Linked DNA regions of Schizosaccharomyces pombe. Changing the gene in region 1 together with any one later gene gives a genetic interaction. Each region holds a gene or a part of one and is shown on either strand. Other genes may lie near its edges.

Evidence for each region.
Region 2: of cdc24 (region 1) and rfc1, extra expression of one rescues a mutant of the other (dosage rescue), as found in Schizosaccharomyces pombe (one study listed by BioGRID).
Region 3: of cdc24 (region 1) and sup35, a mutation in one rescues a mutant of the other (synthetic rescue), as found in Schizosaccharomyces pombe (one study listed by BioGRID).

Annotation. Positions count from the first base shown.
Region 1 is NC_003424.3:2,863,197-2,867,523, forward strand, and holds cdc24 (DNA replication protein Cdc24), read right to left. Parts: upstream 2,631-4,327; 5' UTR 2,592-2,630; coding exon 2,500-2,591; exon of another isoform or gene 2,445-2,499; coding exon 2,360-2,444; exon of another isoform or gene 2,306-2,359; coding exon 2,278-2,305; exon of another isoform or gene 2,214-2,277; coding exon 2,014-2,213; intron 1,956-2,013; coding exon 1,292-1,955; intron 1,247-1,291; coding exon 1,112-1,246; intron 1,071-1,111; coding exon 769-1,070; 3' UTR 534-768; downstream 1-533. Other genes in the region: brr6 (nuclear envelope protein Brr6/Brl1), read left to right, coding at 1-371; SPOM_SPAC8F11.08C (esterase/lipase), read right to left, coding at 2,983-3,039, 3,093-4,166. UniProt on the Schizosaccharomyces pombe protein: Has a role in the progression of DNA replication and in the maintenance of genomic integrity. Acts during S phase, after initiation, where it is essential for completion.
Region 2 is NC_003423.3:3,852,157-3,858,068, forward strand, and holds rfc1 (DNA replication factor C complex subunit Rfc1), read right to left. Parts: upstream 3,867-5,912; 5' UTR 3,787-3,866; coding exon 3,715-3,786; exon of another isoform or gene 3,647-3,714; coding exon 3,528-3,646; exon of another isoform or gene 3,480-3,527; coding exon 3,420-3,479; exon of another isoform or gene 3,360-3,419; coding exon 806-3,359; 3' UTR 501-805; downstream 1-500. Other genes in the region: rib3 (3,4-dihydroxy-2-butanone 4-phosphate synthase), read right to left, coding at 1-57, 101-218, 267-303; rgp1 (protein sat1), read left to right, coding at 4,198-4,540, 4,831-5,912. UniProt on the Schizosaccharomyces pombe protein: The elongation of primed DNA templates by DNA polymerase delta and epsilon requires the action of the accessory proteins PCNA and activator 1. Subunit 1 is essential for cell cycle progression.
Region 3 is NC_003421.2:1,533,417-1,538,511, reverse strand, and holds sup35 (eRF3-like class 2 translation release factor sup35), read right to left. Parts: upstream 3,114-5,095; 5' UTR 3,060-3,113; coding exon 2,930-3,059; exon of another isoform or gene 2,896-2,929; intron 2,847-2,895; coding exon 988-2,846; 3' UTR 501-987; downstream 1-500. Other genes in the region: SNARE-binding protein Sec1, read right to left, coding at 199-239, 278-305; SPOM_SPCC584.03C (GTPase regulator), read left to right, coding at 3,835-5,095. UniProt on the Schizosaccharomyces pombe protein: GTPase component of the eRF1-eRF3-GTP ternary complex, a ternary complex that mediates translation termination in response to the termination codons.

The sequences.
Region 1 (4,327 bases):
TTAACTGTGACTCTCCAGGACCTGCTATTTTTGAAGTTTGTCAAAAACTGAAACAATGTAAAATGGAAAGTTCTAATAATGTCGGTTCTACAAAGTTGGCAGCGTTAGTTTTTGCTGAGATTATAGACGCTTTTATAAGTCATATTTCTTATAAAACTATGGTTTTTTCCCTCATTCTTGTATTTGGAAGTCTACTAACATCCAATTACGCCTTTGGTCTTTATAGAGCTAGACATTCTCAAAATATCCACGATTATGCTGCCAACGCTATCCCGGCGATGATACCGTCCAGTAGATTCCTTCCTTCCAATCTTTCTGATATTTCCAATAGAAACCTTATCGAAGCTGCCTCTCAGGAGGAAGAAATTTGAACGTCTTCATTTTTCTACTAACCTCATTTTTCTTAAAATCATTTTTCATCACTTTCATTTATATCATTACTTTGAACGTTATTGGTATGCTTTCTAATTTGGCATACAAATTTCGTTATTCGGATTCATTTTCTTTTATAATTTTGTTAATTTAGCTGTTCATTGTATCGTATTGCTTTGTTTCTCACAAGGGTGAGCCAATTAATATTCTAACTTTGAATTTCTTTTTTGGAAAAATGCATTATTTATAAGCCTTTTAAACTGTAGTATATTAGTAAATTAAGCAAACTAAGCTTTTAAAACGGAGAATGATTGAATGAACTGTACATCTTTTCATTCAAACATTCAATGTTTGATTTTTATTTGTTAGACATAATTATTCAGATAATGGCGATGGCTATTCACACGGCAGAGAGTTTATTTTTTGTATATGGCAGTTGTGTTCTGAGTCCACATAAATATCACACCAATGGAATCCGAGCTTGTACGACTTCAAATCCAGGTATATTGGAAATTCCATTTCTTTTTGGAATAATTCTTTAAAGCCGGAAATCATAGACGCAAAATATGAAACACAATTCGGTCGTAAAGCTGCCCAAAAACTATTCCTTAAACAGTCAATTACCTCCATTTTTGCTGTTAATGGATTTACTTCCGGCAAGACCAAACTGGTATTTAAATCAGATTGGCGGGTTAAATCTATCATTCAATTAGTATTTCGTAAAACAAGCAACCCTTACTCGCTACAAATCCGGTGATCACCAAAGTTAACGGTTGAATTTTTAAATGCCCAGAAACACCTGAAAAAAGGTTGGAGAACTTGCATAAATCATTTCTCAAAAAGTTTGAGGATAACGGGTTCTCCAAGTTTGACACTAAAATAAATCAATATTCAATCCCATAAATTTACCATTTCTTACGAATTTCAGTCGTTGTGTCACTAACGCATGAATAATCACTTAGATTGTCAGAAGAATGATTGATTGGGCTAATGCATAGCAAATCTCCAATATAGGTATCCTTGAAATAATGCTTTTGAGAATTGGAATACAATATCTTCACTCGCTGACCATTGTTATCCAGTACAAGAAAATTTGAATTAACGGCAGCTAAGCGTCCCACTTGCCAGGAGTCGCATTTTTTTTCTTCAAAGTCATTCTCACTTAAAATTACCAAAATACCGATCATTCCATCCTGCCAGTTGGTACTGCCTTCCCAAACGGTACTCCAAAATGGAATAAGTAGGTATTGTTGCTTGTCTAGCAGCTTAGGGAAATCATGGTAAGTCCCTGAGAAATGTATAAAATTGGTATTGTTGTCTATAAGAAAAGCACCTTTTTTGTCTAAAGAAATGATGCGACCCAATTCCACAGTAATTCGTTTCACACCTTGATCACTTTTGCTTATAGTAATATCACGTATTTGAAAGAATTCATGTTCAGTTGATTCAACCATTGATTTCACAAAACTTTTTGATGCAGCATATTGCAATACTGGAACAAAGCTAGTTGTAGGAAGGAAACGTATTTGCTTTCGTAAATACCATTTTTGATGGATGCGTGACTGAGAAAAGCGTAAAGTTGACTAAATAAAGGTCTTAGATAATCACTGTTATAAAGGAGATGATATTCAAAAACCTTACACCTTTCAAAATGTTAAATGGTTCATGGAAGAGTAAATAAAAACTGGAATGCAAAATCATTTCGCACGTATTCTCCTCACTATCTTTCAGCTTCAAAGACGGTATTGGGGTATAATAATAATCATAGCAATGAAAATGAAACTGGTCTTCCAAATAAATAACTGCATCTGATTTCGTTAACCATTCCAAAGAAGAAAAAACTGTTTACAAAAAAGGAGGTCAATATCTCTTTATACCAAAAAAAAAAGTAAACTTTCTCGTTACCATTGTCCAATTTATTTCTCTCCGAGCACTACGTTCATGCATGTCAGATTTTATCGACTTGTAGAGTAAGTAGATTCCTTACCGCTAATTCAATCTCGTTAATTAAAATGGGATAGCTAAACCCTGAGGGATACTCCTTTAACAAGCTGATAGTTTTGTTTATTAACCTAAATTGTCAGTAGCCACTCTTTACATATGCGTTAACTTTTAGCATCTACTCACCAGTAATCAGTGAATGCTGGTTGTTTAGATTTCTCAACTAAGCGGTTTTCTAGATCTTCTTTTATTTTTTTAATCAGACCTGGAAAATCCATATAATCATTAAATTTACTACTGCTCTAAGATTAGTAGTTGATAGAATATAGATAATTGACAGCTGCCTAAATACTCCATTTAGTATCATCTGTTTTTATACTGTTACGCCTAATGATATTGAACAATACTTATAAAATTTTTACAATTTAAAAACTTGTTTGCTGTCATTATTTTTGTTATTTCATATCACAATCGAAATTTTAAGTAAGAAGACACAATAAACAGCATATAACCAAATATAATATTTAATTCATTTAAAACAGATATCTATCCGGTTTTGGGATGCTTGTCAAAAAAGATGAAACATCTAGCAAACAAAAAAGCATATGCTTGTAAAATATTAAAACAAACTTAAAACTACCCATCTAGAGAAGGAATGCACTCGTAAAATTAAATTGTTTTCTTATTATCTTCTACTAAGAAGAACCAACGTGCGATGAACGTAGCCTGGCGGGTTAGTAAACGATTAACGAAATAAGGAATTTACTATATTGACATACCGTTGAGATTGTTCTTGGAGAAGTAAATTCATAATAATAAGGGACAGCACCAGGTACAACAAAATTTTTAATCAATGATGCCTTTTCGGATGATTCTCTATCATTACTGTCGCTAACCGGATTGACATCTCCAGCATGTAATGTCATCATAGGAATAGTGGATTGATTTGTCCACACTAAATTTTGAATAGAACGGGGACACAGAGCAAAAATGCCTTTTACAGAGTTTGGTCGAATGTGTTTTAGACTCTCAAGAGCGACAGACGCACCAGTATCTTCACCTAGGAAAAAAATACGTTCTGGATCTGCATCATAATAGATGGCATTCTCTACTATCCAATCTACACACAAAGATACAAATTCGACGGCATCGGAAAGGGGAAATTTTGGAGGCTGGGCGTAATTGGGAACCACTACGAAGAAGCCTAAAGATGAAAGGTAGGGAATGATAATGCTTTCGGATTTCTTAGCACCACAAACCCAAACAATAACAGAAGATGCGGATGCAGATTTTGGAGGTGAATAAGCGTTTAATAAAAGGTGACTTTTGTAAACGAGACGCTCAGCATTATTTTTGGCTAAAAGCCAGTTAGGAAGATAAGAGATGTATGGGTAGCGTTTGACGGTTGTCCCATGTAAATCATTGATAAATAACCTACTGAAGCATTTTGCAAGTGAGCTATTTTTTTGCTGATCGCGGTTACCGATGCTTGGTTCAAGAGATGCGGGTAATTCAGACTCGAGTTTTCGGGCGGCAAGTACATTAACAGCGGCCAAAGCAAACAAGGATCCAAGGCCAAGCATATCAACAAAAAATATTTTGTCGTAGAAAGAAGAAAATTGGGCACCCATACGCTCAGCAATTATAGTAGCAACGAACTTAACGCTTGCCGCTTCTAAGCTTTTCTCTGAAACAAAAGCAAAAAAAGAAGCAACATTTGATTCAGATGCACCGATGACTATCTTGGACAACAACTTAACCAAAAATTTGCGAACTTCCAGCTGGTATGCTGAAAGAATCACAAAAGATGAAAGTACTACCCAAATAGAATAAAGAATCGTCGCAAACCCCATTACTACATGGAATGATTTTTGTCTCAATACTAAATTGGTTAATATAATGTGTGAAAAATAAAATAATTTCAGTAAATAATCATGTCTGTTTTCGTTCTGATGACTTTCAATTGAAGAAATTACGAAGTCCACATTGGGAGAAAAAGCATAAATACGAACCA
Region 2 (5,912 bases), on another chromosome or scaffold:
ATAGGAATTTCTAGAGAATCCAAACGTTCACCAGTCATGGGTACGCAGACATACCCACTATTTATTAGCATTTCAAACAATTCCATGTCGTTTTGCATACCTAGAATGCCTGACTAAGAATGCCATTTGTTCGGTAGTAACTTTGCAACCTGCAATAATCAGATCTCCTTCGTTTTCACGCGTTTCATCGTCTAACACTATTAAAAACTTTCCATCCCCTTGTCATGATATTAGCGTTTTATCTTTTTAAAAAGAAATATGCTTACGAAAGTCATTCACTGCTTCCTCAATTGATGCAAGCATTCTGGTATTTGGCAGCTTTTCAGATGCTCTCTGCTAAGTTTACTAAGCACTTAGCTCACCATAACTCTGATAGTTAACACAGCAATGTAGCGTACTTAGATGAAACGATATAATTATTAATAATAAAAATAATTTTATACATTTTAAACCGCCTGTCAATTAGCTTTTATTTTACTGACTCAATTACAAATGATATGGTTCACGATAGCTTTATTGAAAATACCACTCACCGAATTTTTAAATCTAACCTTGCAAATACGGTCATGCTAAATATGATATAATATATCTTATAAACATTAAAGTATGTAACGGACAAAAGAACACACATTTAAGATTAAGAAAATTTGAGCATATCTTACCAGAACTGTAAAATCCACCAAAAAATCTATATTATTTACTATTGTTGCAAAGTAATTGAAAAGTATTCGCAAATTTCACTTACTCAGCAATATAATCCCGATAACTCATATACAATCCGTAAAAGTAATATTTTCAGAGCTTTTTAAGCTGTCTTTTTTCTGGATCGGCGACTGGTTGAGCTAGAAGAGGACGCTTCAGCCTTTGCCTTAGTCCTTTTTTTAGGTTTCTTTGGTACCGAAATAAATTTGTCTTTGCTTAAATCTATGTCCTCTTCATTAGCAGCCTCTGAGTCACTAGCTTCTTCTAACATCTCATCTTCGGCTTCAATTGCATCTTCGACATCCGGCACTTCGCGCTGAGCAGAGCCCTTCATAGGTAAAACATCACTACTTCCAAAGAAGGCGATGGGGTGACTCGAAGAATTGTATTTTCTTGTGAATGCAGATTTTGCAGCAGTCGGTATGGTTTTCATGAGTTTCTCACCTGCATCTGCAGGAAGAACTAATTCCGTTATTGAATCAAAATCTTCACGATTTAGATAATATTCATCCATCAATTCAATGATTTCTGGAACGACGTCTGAATGGCCTGTTGATAGCTTTACAGGCAGAGACTCATACAATATTGGAATATAATGCTGCCGCAAGTCCAATTTATTAGCGGATACTTTTAAACGCATGTGTACTTGTATCTCACGAAGCATACGATATAATTTATTTGTCTTCGAGTTATTACCCAACCAATTAGTAAAGCGAATCTGCCTGGAACCGGAACCAGCCACGAAAGAAGCAGGTCGCACGCAAGACATAAGAGCATGGGTTGGCATAAGTGACCAGTGTTGTTGAGGACCATGAATCATTGAATCAACAAGATCAGAGTCGGAAAAGGAGTTAGCAGCACTAGATATTAATTCTAAATGCTTCAAATGTGACATTTTCGGTGGTTCTTGACGAATTCTATCTGGTGTAGTATTAAGGTAGTTTTCTTGAACCATAAGATAAGAAAATTCGTGATCATTAAAATACAGCTCTAATTTATCATTAATGGTGGACTTGCTTGATGGATGAAACATTCCTCCATGTAAGTAACGACTACAGATATCCCATGGTTTCATAACGATATGCTTTTCAGAATTTTTAATAACAGCTTGGCTATTTTGAGGTGTCATTTCTGAACAGCTTAACTTGTAAGTGGATAGCAAATTAATAATTTGGCGCATATCGGACTGCGTCCCCTGAACCAGTTGATCGACTGCTTGTGGTGACAATTTGAGACCTTCACGATACGCTATAGACATTATTCGGGATCGCATTGAATTAGCATCTGGCCGACGGAAACGGAGGTCAAACGTAGTACGGTCAAGGGGCCGCAGCTTTGGATGAGCACGGTCATTGCAAATACAAATAATTGGTATCATGCTTTTTTTAATAATCATATTCAACTGACCAACGCCTCCACGATCACCCGATGACATGCCATCGATTTCGTCCATAATGAGTACAAGTCGGGACTTTGCCATGTCAACGGGGTTAGCTTTTGTGCCAAAGTAGCCGGCAAGTGATTGACTATCTGTCACACCGAACAGCTGCTCATCTAGCAAGCGCTTGCTTCTAGTGTCACTAGCGTTCAGTTCCAAAACATCGTAACCTTCTAATTTTGCTACCAAATGAGCAGCAGTCGTCTTGCCAATACCTGGAGGACCAGAGAGTAATACGGCTTTGTATAGACCCAGACCATCAGGTCCAGGTTTATTAAAGTTGGACTTCCTGTTTTTGTGGTAATCCTGTAGCCACTTTTGAAGTTTTTGAACGACACCCTTATTACCACAAATATCCTTTAAAGAAGTTGGCGCATATTTTGAAGTCCATATCTGTGAAGGTTGTGATTCCTTTTTATTACTATCGTCCATTCTCGCAACAGTTTCAAGGATTTTCTTTTCTTCTTGTTCCTTTTTCTGTTGAGCAGCCTGAGCCGCAGCACCCGTTCCTCCTGAAGCAGGAAGATGAGTTATAAGATAGAAGAGTCCATCCTCGTTAATAGCAGGAATCTTGTGTTGTTTAATTGTTTCCACTTTTCTTGGACCAGCATTCTCACCTAAGAGAATAAAGTCTGTTCTAACAGAAGGTGCACCTGTCACTTTTCCACCATATTGTTTGATCAGGTCTGTAGCCTCTTGTCTAGTTAAAGTCTCTAGAATTCCTGTAATAACAAAGCTAATTCCCGAGAGACAATCGCTATTGCCTTCAGGGACGGGTTTTGAGCCTGGAGTTTGTGTTGTAGCCGCCCGTTCATAGAAAGTACCTGGAGCCATCACACCCATAGAGTCTACGTCAATTAAAGGAACATTTTTGAGGGCTTGGGAAACTTCGTCTGAGAACCTAGGTAAGCCTTTCGACTTGCTAGAACGACTTGTGTGAGTTGTCGCAGTTGTGGTATGAGATTTTGACTTTGAAGTTGTCGATTTTTCTGCTTTAGGTTGAGCAGGTTTACGTGTAGCTCTAGTTTGATGGACAACTGGCTTACTGTCTGAAGTGGTATCCAAGTCATTGGCAAAATTTTCTGTTTTTACAGGATGTACGACATCTTTGGAAGTAGTAGTTTCTTTATTGGAGATAATCCGCGGTTTAGAACGTGACCGAGTAGACTGTTGTTCAAAGTACTCATCAGGTGTAGTTGAAACTCCATCTGAACCGACACTAAACAAAAATTCAAATTAGCGAACAACGCATAATGAGGTAAAAGTAAAATAAACATACAGTTTATCGTCTTCATGAACAATGGATGGCAAAGAATGGGAAATATCTTCCGACTCATTACTAGTTGGAGGGTTAGAAATATAAACTGATAACCCGAATTAAACGAACCGTTTTTGCACTTTGCTTTTGGATGCAGGAACTTTTGAATTCTCTATTGTACCATCTTCATCATCTGATAAAACGATTCTTTTTTTCTTCAAACTCCTTTTTGGTTTTGGGGAAGTAGGCTAGACAAAGACGTTAGAAAATGAATGACTAGCTTATCAAATTTGACTGATTGAAGAAACAAACATACAGTCGGTGAGACTTTTGGCTTTTTTTGAGCGTTCCCTCCTCCAAAGAAGCTTCGAATGTCAGAATTACTCATTTCCGACGATGAATAACAATTACCCAATTCCTGAGAAGCTACTGTCTAACTTCCAAAAAAGCAGTGTATGTATGTATATTGGGCGACAATAGCAAGGAATGTGACAATTTGCCAAAAGCAGAGAGTTAACAAAGCTTCGTTAAAACATTCGTAAATGAGTAAATTAAGGAATAGTAAGGAGAGTGTAAAAAATTGATTGTGGGCGTTCGTTATTTAATCTCGTAAAATGAGTCGTGGAGGAAGAAAAGTGGGCTCTTTTACAGTACTATTTTGATTGTGCATTTGTTACGAGACTAATAAACGTTCGTCAATACGAATGAAGAAATCCAAGTTGTATGGTTATTATTAAGGTAAAGCTGAAGCCAGCGGCTTGAGAAATTATCGAATATAAGAGTTTAGTGGTGTTCGACAATGACAGAATGTGATGTGCAAATGTACATGCCAGTGAATGTAGTTCAATCCGGAACTGACTTTGAGTGCATTGTAAAATTCACGAATCTAAGGAGTTCAGAAGATGTAAATTTACTTTTGTGCTATGCTTCTATCCATGGTGAAATGTACCTTGACTATGTACTGGTGCGCGTTACAGAATTCGATGAGGTTCAGAGGCAGGGGCTCTTAAACAAAAGGACAATGAGCGGATTAGTACATATTCCCAAGGTATCCAGCAGTTATTCTGTTATTAATACTCTGAACGGGATGATTGGAAATTTATTTGGAGTTAAACAAGCAAGTACATTGACAGAGGCCTCAGGTATGTAATGGTGAAAGGGTGCAAAAGGAAATAAAGACTTGGTAAAAAAAATCTCTCAATTGGCTTACATTTGGAGGGAAGATATAGCTCGGAAGAGTGCTTATACGGTGAGGTGGACATAAAGTCAATTGACGAATTACAGAAAGGTTGTCTGGGAAGAGTTTTGTAATTCATTTGAAACATATTTACTCTTTATTCAATTTTTTTTTTTTTTTTTTTTTTTTTTGGAAGATGGTTACTCTTATTTTTACTGCAACCTACTGCTTAAGCATGAATACTAACCGATAAAGAACAAAAGCAGGAAAATGCCATTCCAGTGCTACTGACTCGTCCAGATATATTAGGAGTCGATATCACGCTTTCTCCTGGAGAGGAAAAATGCTTTCGGTTGAAGCGAAGAATTCCCCTTCGAACAGCACCTACATATAAAGGATTGGCCTTTCGATTTCAACACGCACTGGTCATAGGAGTCCAATCAGCTACCAACAATGCTTGTGTAGAGCATGAATTTGAAATTACTATAGTACCCAACGTTCAACAGCAACCTGAACTGCCACTCGGAAAGAATTCGGGAAACAGACAATCCTCGAAGCTGTTTGCAGATTTATCCAAACCGATTATTGAAACAGATGCGGCAGAAATTGAAGAGGTTTCAGCAGAGAAAGCACGTAGGCAATTCGGTAAAAACGGTATACGACTTTCGCAGGATGCGCAGGAGGAAGAGAAGCAAAAAAAGAAATACGAGCAACACATAAAAAAGCTACTTGATGGAGAGTCTAATGAAGAGGGAGGAGGAGAATTCCAAGATCATGGAATGAGGTCAGAGATCAATGAAGAAGTATTAGAGGAAGAGGATGAAGAAAAAATTGCGTTGTTAAAAAAACTCGAATCCAAGCAACCAATGGCCACGAGGTTTGAGATTACAAGCAAACAAAAAGTGTTATGTCGATTGCTTTTGAGCAAAAGCAGATATCGGACAGGAGAGATGATGATGATTGAGCTAGAAGGACTGGACGCGATGGTTCGACAAGTGCATATGCAACTTGAAAGTGTGGAGCGTATTGTGCCAGACATCCGTATACGCAACAGCGTAGGGACGGAGAGGGCGACGCGAAAAGTGTGGTGTAGAATTACACGGGGAGTGTTTGAGTTGGAAAACATGAGCGCTTCGATGGTTGTGCCGGAGGAATGTCCGGAAACATTTGAAACACAGCAATTTGGAGTGGAACACTTTTTGCGGGTGGAATTGTTAAGGGCGGTGAACAAGAAACGTGAGATGCAGGGACCGGCGCATCCCCGATATAGTGAAGAGGTGCAGAGTCCGAGTCGATCGAGATACAGTGAAGAAGTACAGAGGGTGAGTGAAGGTAGA
Region 3 (5,095 bases), on another chromosome or scaffold:
CAAACCAAAAGCCAAAGATGTGAAACTGAACGGCTCCAAATTAGAAATAGGCCAATTTTGATAGTTTAAAAAAAATATGTCGGAGGAAATAATATGCTGCATATTCACAAATTCAATTCCATTTAAACAATATCCAAATCAAAATTCCCAGTAAACATTTCAGTGCACGTTATAAGTTTCACGGGTTCCATCTCTTACCTTCGTAGCACATTCTACTGAATTAATTTTGCTAAGAAACACTTATTTGTTAGTAATACACCAGCACAAATAACCATACATTCTTTTTGGAGCTCCAGCAGTGTCATCTCAAAACGTCAATGTCCCGTATTCCTAAACGGAATAGCAAAAACTATACCTTTCAACACTTCAATGCTTACTCTTAAAACCAAGCAACGTCAAAAGAGTACGTGAAATTCGGATACGGTACAGAAATGCTGGTGGAATGTAAACGGTAGAATGATCGGATTACTGTAAATATGATCCACCTCGGTATTTATTCGGTAAGATTTGGTGTAGTAGCACAATAAATTTCAGTATATCTAGTGATTTAAATAAACTATTATTTTACAATATTATGAAGATTTCAAGTGTAGTTTTAATCATTAATATGGATTGTAAAAAAACAACAACTTATTATCACATTTCACCCTTCCATAGCTGCAAAGTGCAACTGCTTATTTACTATTTGCTGACCTACTCCTCGCATTGAATTCTGTACGAAAAAAGTAAATAATTTCAAAGTGAATAGGGTGTAAAGGAGTGAATGTCCATTATTCTTCATATATACAACCCATCGCATTGAAATTAGGCATAGTAATACGCGTATATAACGATTAGATATACATCTTCTACCATACCGCTAGTCCACCAACTAAAAAATAAGCAAATCCCATTTTGTCCTAGTTGGATTATATACAGTAGAACCATAAAGTGTCATACATTTGCATAGAAACAAATCCCGAGCACGAGAAAATTGCCGAAATTACCCTAATCCAAAATTTTTACGACTTTGCCAACTGCAACCGTAGTACCCTGATCACGCAAAGTGAAACGGCCCATATACTGATAGTCCTCAAACCTTTCCATACAAACCGGAGTTTGTGTTTCCAACTCTGCAATAATTTTCATACCCTTGGTAGCAAACATGGGGGGTTTCTTGCTTTTGCGGTTTGTTTTGTCAAGTTTATGGAGCAACTTGGCAAATGAAACTTCCTCGACAGCGGTATGAATGTGCATTACACAAGAATAACCAGTTGTCAAAATTGAAGGCAACTCAAGGATCGCAATTTGTGCAATGAAACGAGTAGTAGCATGAACTGGGTTTTTAGTGGATGTTAAAACATAACCAGTTTGGACATCCGAATCGTCACCACGGACACGGAGACGAACTTGGTCACCGCAAATAGAAGAAGAGATTTCTTCATCAGCTTCATCATATATGGCTGTAACTTCAAGGGTTTGATTAATTGGCATAACCAATACGTTTGAATTTTTCTTAATCGAACCAGCCTCAATCTTTCCTTCTAAGATGGTACCCAAATCTTTATACTTGGAGGCAATAGGCATGATGAATGGAGCATTCACTTTGCGTTCCAAATGAGTCATAGAATCCAAGTATTCTAGCAAAGATGGACCTTGATACCACGGGCAAACCGAACTGTCAACACGATCCTTAACGTTTTGACCAGTGTAAGCAGAAACGGGCATATATTTAACATCAGTCTTTGAGTTGTATCCAGCGACACGACGCAAAAACATGCTGAGCTTATCGACACATTCCTTATAACGCTCCTCCGACCACTGAACGCTAGGTTCGTCCATTTTATTAATAACGACAACTAGATGATTGATGCCTTGTGTACGAGCCAATACGGCATGTTCACGAGTTTGACCACCGCGCTCAAAACCAGCTTCAAACTCACCACGACGCGCTGAAATGACTAAAACACCAATATCAGCTTGAGAAGCACCATTAATCATGTTTGTAACGTAACCTTTATGACCCGGAGCATCCAACAAGCTAAAGCGACGGTGTTCGGTTTCAAAGTAAGCACGACCAACTTCAACGGTTTTACCTTTTTCACGTTCTTCAGAAGTGCTGTCCAAAGCCCAAGAAAGATACCAACTTTCTTTACCAGCTTCTTTAGCTTCTCTCTCTATTTTCTCCATAGTACGCTTGTCAACCATACCAGTCAAGAAAAGAATATTACCACCCAGGGTAGACTTTCCTGCATCAACATGACCTATAAAAACAATATTGACATGTTCCTTTCCATACATATCCTTCAAAAGCTCTTGATCAACCTCATTTTGTAAATCGGTGGCATCCTCAGTGACAGTGGCGGGTTCAGCTGCCTCAGCAGCTTTCTTAAGAGCCGCTGCTGGAGCAGAGGGTGTTTTTGCTAGTTCAGCATCAGCAGATTTTGTAGGAGTTTCCTGGGGAGGAGGAGCAGCGGTCTCCTTCTTTGTTGACTCAGAGGTAACCTTGGGTGCAGGGGTCTCTGTTTTGCTTTGTGCAGCAGGTGCTGCTGGTTTGGTAGTTGTAGGAGCTTTTGTTCCACCAAGGCTGATGCTAATGGGCTTTGTAGACTTAGGAGCAGAGGTGTTTCCACCCAGGGACAAAACCTTTCCTTTGGGAATTGCTGGTTTAGGAGGCACAAAACTCTTCTTTTTAGAAAAATCAGGGACACGGCTTTTATCTTCATCAACAGTGTTTCCTGTTGGCTTTTGGTAGTATTGCTGATAACTCTTCGTAGGATGTGGCGAGTTGCTGTTTTGTCCTTGGCCTGTATATTGGGCATAAGGATAACCACCAGCAATATTGTTCACAGGTACAAATCCGGGGCCTAGCAAGAAGTTAATAATTTTTTTACTTAAAACAAGCAATCATCTCAAGACATATGGATGGTGTTCTAATTAAAAAACGTACGTTGGAAAGAAGGAATGAAGGGAGCAGCTTTAGGCGTAAACGTAGGTGCCTTTGCAGACATCGACAGTTTAGAAGTCTGCTTGGCGAGTTGCTCATCCTGTTCACCGTTATTTGGCTGATTACTAGCCATTTTTTGCCTTTATTAAAATATGTGGTAAAGGGACGGTGATGTTGAAGAGAATTTACACCACAGTATACACTGTGTATTCTTTTATAATATAATATTACGAGTACTTACGATGATATTATTAGCATCCTTTATATAAGCTTGTGCTATAGTAATTCAGTTAAGTTCATAAAATATTATATTTGAGTTTAATTTTACATTTGGTTGTAAAATCGGAAGCAACTGAATTGTAAATTGGTCATTTTCTCGCTTTTTTCTTCAGTAATACGCTATTATTGTCTTAAACAGGTAAAATATATTGACTTGCCTTGGGAGATAAAAAACAGAAACTTCGGTGGGCTTAATACCAAACACAACATTTATTAGCTATTGGGTTGAACAATTAATCAAAAGTTTTTAAATCTATTGGTTAATTAGTCTCCATTGTCACCAATAATCACTGCAAGGATTTTGTCATGGAAGAAACGATGAATCAGCGTTACAGCTTCAAAATATATACCAAGCAAGTTCCAAAAGATTCAATATGTAAATCCATTATATAATTATTCACTTTAGGATTTCCTTATACAAAATTCTATAGGCGTGTTTGGATATTAAACTTCTATCCTCCACATATCACTATGACTTAGCGCAAGTTCTATTTGGTTCTCAATTTACTACGCTTCTTTTTATTTCGTTATTAATTTGTTGTTAAAAGGAATAAATACAATTTGAATGACCATTATTTATTTGTTTAGCCTTGTTTTCTCTTGTGTTTTTTAAAGCCGCCTTTTTAGAAATGGATGAATTACTTAATGTAGCTTCTCATGCTGCGACATTTGCTACGAACTTCGCGTTGAAACATAGTATATCATTTGCAGGAAAATTAGCTGTTCAGCAAGTTAGCAGCTATATTAAACGTGCCTCTGCAGATGATCAAAGTGAATTGGAGTCTGTGAAAACTCAACTGCTTGAAATGATTCGAGTTGTGACGCCTGCTATCGAACTAATTGAAATAATGTCAGTCGGTGAAAATGAAAATTTTAAGAGTACTAAGCAATTAGTGGATTCTTTGCACGCTGACATCGAACAATTCACCAAGCATGTTTTAAGCGCCGCTCATTCGGAATTTCCGCCTTCCTCAGAAAAAGAAACTTTGCAGAAGAACGTTGATACGTCTATTCTTCGTGAAATGAAAACTTTACTTCTCAAAATTAATGATGCAGTTCCTCTCTTAAATCTGTCCATCACTACTTCTGGTGCTTCTATTTCATCTTCTCTTCCAAAATCTACTTCATTTTCCCAACTTCTACGAGCTAATTCATACATATATAGGGCGAATGTTGCATTTACTGGAAATGAACCTTTACAAGTTGGCCCCACATTTTTCCTGCGAACTTATAAAATTATAGATAACCACGCCAAGTCTGGTTATATAAGCAATGATTTAGTCATGTGGAAAGAAGAGATGCCTGTTTGTATCGCCAAAATGTTTCGCATGCCTCCTCAACGGTTGAAGTCCAAGGATACGGTTCTAGCCTATGCTTTATCTTTAAAACAATCTTTTGATGATGATCGTTACCATGATGAAGATGAGACTCCTGTCACCAAAACCATTTCACTAAATGATGTGCGCACGCTTTTTTTTAGTTTGTCCGGTAAACTTCTTCGGTTAGATGATGTACAAACTCCCGTATTATTACTCAAGTATGCAGATGATGAAACAGAGTATTCTTCAAATACAGCACCTTCGAACTGGATAGCTTTAGAAGCACTTCCTTTGGTATCAATACCTAATGAATCATTAGACGAATCTGATGAACTTGCAGAATCTCTTAGTGATTCTGAAGCTGCTAGGCTACAGCTTTTAGGCATCAAAAAACAAGAATCCGTTGCAAAGAAAAAGTCTTCCTTTCCATCGACTATAAAAGATCAACCTAATTTAACTTTACTGGAGTATTTGATTAGATTATGCGCGCTCGAAAGTACTACCCAAGAATCAGTTTTACAATTACCTGACGAACAAATTGCATTGTATCTTAAAGATTATCAAGGAAGAG